2 linked regions of the Canis lupus familiaris genome follow. The protein of the gene in region 1 purifies or fractionates together with the protein of each later gene. This does not show direct contact. Links are inferred from orthologs where the notes say so. Each region holds a gene or a part of one and is shown in the gene's direction. Other genes may lie near its edges. The genes, in order: RANBP6 and ARMCX3.

Evidence for each region.
Region 2: the proteins of RANBP6 (region 1) and ARMCX3 purify together in Homo sapiens (co-immunoprecipitation; 3 studies listed by BioGRID and IntAct, counting the BioPlex papers as one, with this or other methods). This does not show direct contact. The link is inferred for Canis lupus familiaris from reciprocal best matches to the Homo sapiens genes RANBP6 and ARMCX3.

Annotation. Positions count from the first base shown.
Region 1 is NC_049232.1:27,101,072-27,105,617, reverse strand, and holds the start of RANBP6 (ran-binding protein 6), read left to right. Parts: upstream 1-1,546; 5' UTR 1,547-1,601; coding exon 1,602-4,546. UniProt on the Homo sapiens protein: May function in nuclear protein import as nuclear transport receptor.
Region 2 is NC_049260.1:75,895,883-75,898,411, forward strand, and holds part of ARMCX3 (armadillo repeat-containing X-linked protein 3), read left to right. Parts: coding exon 1-343; 3' UTR 344-2,529. UniProt on the Homo sapiens protein: Regulates mitochondrial aggregation and transport in axons in living neurons. May link mitochondria to the TRAK2-kinesin motor complex via its interaction with Miro and TRAK2.

The DNA of each region.
Region 1 (4,546 bases):
AATTCTGCTTCAGTAGTTTAGATCTTGGGCCCTAATATGTATATTTAAAAGTAAGTACCTCAAGTGATTCTGATGCTGTCGGTTTTAAGTCCACAGAATGAGAAACAGTTTAGAGAGTAATACTTCTTCCTAAATGAGTATAGTATTGCATATTACAATGTAATTTATGAGACTGTTTTGTCTATCATCTGGCTAATCTTAAAGCTGGATCTTCTATCTCTGTGGGTATATGCAGTAGCATTTTACAAAATTAAAATTAAGCCCGCTTGGAGAAATTTACAATAGATTTTGCAATAAGTGAAGACCTCTGATCATTTGCAAAACCAAGAGCGATTATGGGGAAGTGGCATGGTGGAAGATCATTGGTGTTCCTTTCAGAAGTGGATTTGATATTCAGCTGTGCCATCTTAGGCAGGTCCCTTAACTTCTCTGAGTTTCTATTAATTACCTAAAATTAGTATTATATCCAGCCTACCAGATTTGCAAACCTGTGTAAGGTTCAAAATTACACAGTGGCAAAGTGCTAATACAAATACGATTTAATCATTGTTAGAGGAATGATCGTTGTTTTTGATTGATTCATCTGCTTAAAGAAATAATATTTAGCTTCAGGGGCATTTGTTTCTTGGAATAATCTCAGCATCTTCCTACTAAAAGGAAAACTGTAAAAGCATTTTAAGTTAGGCAATATACAAAGAAAACCTTGAGTGACATGACCACGGATACAAAATTAATATACAGATAAGACCAGGATTCAAGTCTTCTGATTACTAGCCCAGGTCACTGTCCACTATATTTAGTTGTCTTCCTCATTCTTTATTATCATCCATAGGCCAGGTGATTGACACACTAGAGTTTGAGCACCACTGTTCTTACTCATTAGATGTGGTAGTGGGATGGTAATCATTATCTTTTATCGCACTTACTTGATAAACGGATTTATTGAGGTATTATTATTCATACTATACAATTCACCAGTTTCAATTGTATAATGCAGTGATTTTAAGTATAATCACGGAGTTGTGCAACCATTACCACAATTAATTTTAGAACATTTCATTACTCCAAAAGAAACCCATTACCTGACAGCAGTCATTTTACATTCTCTCGTTCCCACTGCCTCTGGCAACCACTAATCTACTATATAGATTTGCCTTTTCAAGACCTTTACTATAAATGGAATCATACAATATTTGGCCTTTTGTGACTGGCTTTTCACCTGGGGAGTTTTCAAGATGTAATTATCGTTTTAAAATTATCAGGGTAACAACAGTTTAGAAATAAAGCCGGAAAAATCACCCATAATCCCATTCTAATACGTTCAATATCATAATTTTCTTTTTTTTCTCTCTCTCTCTTTCCGCAAGTGCTTTTTTTTTTTTTTTTTAAATCTGATTGGCCAACAGCTGGAGGACGGCGGCCGCCCCCACCGCATCCTGCTATCCCCGGACGCCCGGCGGCCCACCCCCGCCGCGCAGCCAAACCGCCGGCCGCCTGGGCCAGCGGCCCCGCCCATCCCCGCCGGCGCTCCGCTGACGTCACCGCTTCTGGCCGCAGACCCCCTCTTTCCTTCCCGGTCGCGATTTCTCTGACAGAGCGCGATGGCGGCGGCCGTGTCTGCAGGGGGACCGGCTACTGTGTCGGGAAAGCAAGAGTTTTATCAGCTTCTGAAGAACTTGATCAATCCAAGCTGTATGGTGCGGAGGCAGGCAGAGGAAATCTATGAAAATATCCCAGGTCTGTGTAAGACTACATTCCTCTTAGATGCTGTCAGAAATAGAAGAGCAGGTTATGAGGTGAGACAAATGGCTGCCGCACTGCTACGACGGCTTTTGTCCTCTGGGTTTGAGGAAGTCTATCCAAATCTGCCTTCTGATGTTCAGAGGGACGTCAAGATTGAACTGATACTGGCTGTTAAGTTAGAAACACATGCTAGCATGAGGAAAAAACTTTGTGATATTTTTGCAGTGCTGGCCAGGAATTTGATAGATGAGGATGGCACTAACCACTGGCCCGAAGGTCTGAAGTTCCTTATCGATTCAATCTACTCTAAAAATGTAGTTCTATGGGAAGTTGCACTTCATGTTTTCTGGCACTTTCCTGGGATCTTTGGGAACCAAGAGCGGCACGATTTGGATATCATCAAACGGTTGTTGGACCAGTGCATTCAGGATCAAGAACATCCAGCAATCAGGACATTATCTGCTAGAGCTGCAGCTGCATTTGTACTTGCTAATGAGAATAATATTGCTCTTTTCAAAGACTTTTCAGACTTGCTTCCTGGAATCTTACAGGCTGTGAGTGACTCATGCTACCAGGATGATGATTCAGTGCTAGAATCCCTTGTTGAGATTGCAGATACTGTACCTAAATACTTGGGTCCTTATTTAGAAGACACTCTGCAGTTGAGTCTGAAGTTATGTGGAGACTCTAGACTTAGTAATCTGCAACGCCAGCTGGCCCTTGAAATAATAGTGACCTTGTCTGAAACTGCAACCCCAATGTTGAAAAAACATACAAATATAATTGCACAGGCAGTTCCTCATATATTAGCAATGATGGTTGATCTACAAGATGATGAGGACTGGGTAAATGCTGATGAGATGGAAGAAGATGATTTTGACAGCAATGCAGTTGCTGCTGAGAGTGCACTAGACAGACTGGCTTGTGGGCTCGGTGGAAAACTTGTTTTACCAATGACTAAGGAGCACATCATGCAGATGCTTCAGAGCCCTGACTGGAAATATCGACATGCTGGATTAATGGCCTTATCTGCCATTGGAGAAGGATGCCATCAGCAAATGGAATCAATTCTAGATGAAACAGTTAACTCTGTTTTGCTTTTTCTTCAGGATCCTCACCCAAGGGTGAGGGCTGCAGCCTGTACTACGCTTGGACAGATGGCTACAGATTTTGCGCCTAACTTCCAAAAGAAATTCCATGAAACAGTGATTGCAGCTCTGTTGCGTACCATGGAAAATCAAGGTAATCAGCGTGTGCAATCACATGCGGCTTCTGCACTTATTATTTTTATAGAAGACTGCCCCAAAGCATTGCTAGTTCTATATTTGGATAGTATGGTGAGAAATCTACATTCCATCTTGGTGATTAAACTTCAAGAGTTGATTCGGAATGGAACTAAATTGGCCTTGGAACAGCTTGTGACAACCATTGCCTCAGTTGCAGATACAATAGAAGAAAAATTTGTTCCATATTATGATATATTTATGCCATCACTAAAGCACATTGTTGAGCTTGCTATTCAAAAGGAACTCAAGCTTCTGAAAGGAAAAACTATTGAGTGCATTAGCCATGTTGGTCTTGCTGTTGGGAAGGAAAAATTTATGCAAGATGCATCAAATGTGATGCAGCTATTGTTGAAGACACAATCAGACTTAAATAATATGGAAGATGATGACCCTCAGACATCTTACATGGTTTCAGCATGGGCCAGAATGTGTAAAATTCTTGGAAGTGATTTTCAACAGTATCTTCCACTGGTTATTGAGCCTCTCATTAAGACTGCTTCAGCAAAACCTGATGTTGCTCTCTTAGACACACAAGATGTGGAAAATATGAGTGATGATGATGGATGGCAATTTGTAAATCTTGGAGACCAACAAAGTTTTGGAATTAAAACTTCAGGACTTGAAGCAAAAGCAACTGCTTGTCAAATGTTGGTTTACTATGCTAAGGAATTAGGGGAAGGATTTGTGGAATATACAGAACAAGTTGTAAAGCTTATGGTTCCTTTATTGAAATTTTATTTCCATGACAATGTTCGAGTGGCAGCAGCAGAGTCTATGCCTTTTCTCCTGGAATGTGCAAGAATTCGTGGCCCAGAGTATCTTGCACAGATGTGGCAATTCATATGTGATCCTTTAATCAAGGCTATTGGGACTGAACCTGATACAGATGTACTCTCAGAAGTAATGAATTCTTTTGCAAAATCCATTGAAGTAATGGGAGATGGGTGCCTTAATGATGAACACTTGGAAGAACTAGGAGAAATACTGAAAGCAAAACTTGAAGGGCATTTTAAAAACCAAGAATTGAGACAGGTTAAAAGACAGGAAGAAAACTATGACCAACAGGTTGAAATGTCTCTACAAGATGAGGATGAATGTGATGTTTATATTCTGACCAAAGTATCAGATATTTTGCACTCATTATTTAGTACTTATAAGGAAAAGATTTTACCGTGGTTTGAACAGCTGCTTCCATTAATTGTAAATCTAATTTGTTCAAGTAGGCCATGGCCAGACAGACAGTGGGGATTGTGCATTTTTGATGATATTATAGAGCACTGCAGTCCAACCTCATTTAAATATGTAGAATATTTTAGGTGGCCAATGCTACTAAATATGCGAGACAATAACCCTGAAGTCAGACAAGCTGCTGCTTATGGCCTGGGTGTTATGGCACAGTTTGGTGGAGATGATTATCGTTCTTTATGTTCGGAAGCTGTTCCACTGCTGGTAAAAGTTATTAAGTGTGCAAATTCCAAAACCAAAAAAAATGTCATTGCTACAGAGAACTGTATTTC
Region 2 (2,529 bases), on another chromosome or scaffold:
CCTTTTGAATTTGGCTGAAAATCCAGCCATGGCTAGGGCACTGCTCAGAGCCCAAGTACCATCTTCACTGGGCTCCCTCTTTACTAAGAAGGAGAACAAAGAGGTTATTCTTAAGCTTCTGGTCATATTCGAGAACATAAATGACAATTTTAAATGTGAAGAAACTGAACCTGCTCAGGATCAATTCAGCGAAGGTTCACTGTTTTTCTTTTTAAAAGAATTTCAAGGGTGTGCTGACAAGATTCTGGGGATAGAAAGTCACCATGATTTTTTGGTGAAAGTAAAAGTTGGAAAATTCATGGCCAAACTGGCTGAGCGTATGTTCCCAAAGAGCCAGGAATGACTTCTTGATTTTGTAGTTTAGAAGCAACACACATTGTAAACTATTCCTTTTCTCCACCTTGTTTATATGGTAAAGGAATCCTTTTAGCTGCCAATTTTGAGTGATGAATATCATTGTATCATCAATGCTGAGTTGGTTTTCAAGTCTAAACTGGGTGAATGAATATCACTACCTATTCTGAAAATATGTTTGTTGCTTTTTATCTCATTGCCTAGATTGAAATATTTTTACTATTTCTTTTGCGTGACAGTGAACCGGTCGGTCATAAGTAAGCTCCCTCCTGTCATTTGCATTAACTTCGTGTATCATCAATAAACTTGTGTGTTAATGCCGAAAAAAAAGAAAGAAAAAAGAAAGAAAGCATTCATGTCCTTGGTTTATAATCTAGTTGGAGAGATAAGAAATATACAAACAAAAAGATAACAATATCTGGAGCATATGCTCATTGTCAAATGTGTGCTCTCAGAGCATAGAGGAAGCAAAGGCTTCTGTGGGATATAATAGCTACAAACTTCTGGAGGAAGCAACCATCGAAAATGAGTCCTGACTGGGTTAGGTAGTTAGGCTTTCCAAAAGCAAGAGTGAAGGGGCGTTAGAGGTAGGAGGCATAGAAGTAGGACGCCTTTTCCTATGACTGGGAGGAGATTAGTCACCTTAGAGTGGAGAGCGTGGGGATTGGAAGTAAATAAATTTGGAAAGCTGAGTGAAGCCAGTTTGTAGAGAGCTGTTTGCATATTATCCCACTGAACACAAAGAGCCAGGAAATATTTTTGACTAAAAAGAATAATTGGAATTCATATTGAGGTCTCTCGCTCACCAGCTATGCAGTGTCCGCAAAGGTGTGGAAACATGGATCCTACCAAACCCTGGTTGTAGGAATGAGTTTACACTGAGTTTGCACAGGTTTGTGGAGGGCCATTTGATAATACATATAAGCCTTAAAGCATGTAAAAACCCTTTGTCCTAAGGAAATAATTGAGTAATTGGCTAAAGACTGTATGTACAAGGCTCTTCATCCCAGCATTGTCTGAAACAGTAAGAATTGGAAGTAACCTAAGTGTAGCACACTGAATTTGTTAAATAAGTTAAGGAATGTTCACATGGTATATATGATAAATATGTCGATTCAAATCCATATTGCCCGGAGAAGATATTCATTCTGCATTGTTAAATGAGAAAGGTAGGTTAGATAGCAGTGTTCATAGAATGATTCTATTTCTTTTTCAAAGATAGTAAAACATATATTGAAGTAGACATTAACAACTGTGGAATTAAAAAAAAAAAACTGTGGAATTATAAATATCCAAACAGTAACTGGTATATTTGAGTGGAAGGATAATGAATGATCTTTACCATTTTACTTTTTATTCATTTATGTATTCTCATTTATATGAAATGAATATTGTTTTTTTGGAAATTTTTGTAAAAGAAAGTGTTGGGAATGAAGCAGGTGATTGGAGCATGTACTGAGTAGAAAACAATTTAGATTAAAAATGAGATAGGTTGAAGCTTCCTCTCTGAAATGATAGACGAGTGATGAAGATGGGGCTTGTCATGAAGATTAAGTTAAATAATACATGCAAAATACTTAGAATGTCCTGGCACAGAGCAGTTAATTAAGAAAAATGAGCACCCTTAACTCCCTAGAATGTAGGGTTGATGGTTTTTTTTGGTTGACCTTTGTTTTGCTGGGGGCATTCTGCCGTGTGTCAGTGTCATTTAGTAAATAATAACAATAAAGGTTAGCATTTATTAAGTGACTAGTGTGTAGAGTTCTGTCATTCCTGCAAGACAACTGTTAAAATAACTTCTCAAAGGAATAAGGTTTTCTTACTTCCAAGGACTCAGTATTTCCTCAGACATGATCCCACCAACCTCTACAACATATTCCTAGTGAGATCAGGAAAGGGTAAAATCCTCTGTTCAGTTACCATCTGCTTCCAGCCCCAGGCTTCCATATACCTATCTTAATGTTGTCTATATTAGATAAAAGGATCAGAAACTGATTGGCTTAAAGTCATTGCATATGGTGACCCTATTGAATCACATACTAGTGGAGACTCATTTGACACTAGTTTCATGGGTGGGCACTGGAAAAGGCAACTAACATTTTTCTTGCTCTATTATTAGGTAGGAGAAAGAGATTTGGGAGGGGAAGGCTAATCCACTTAAAATAAACTGAGTTT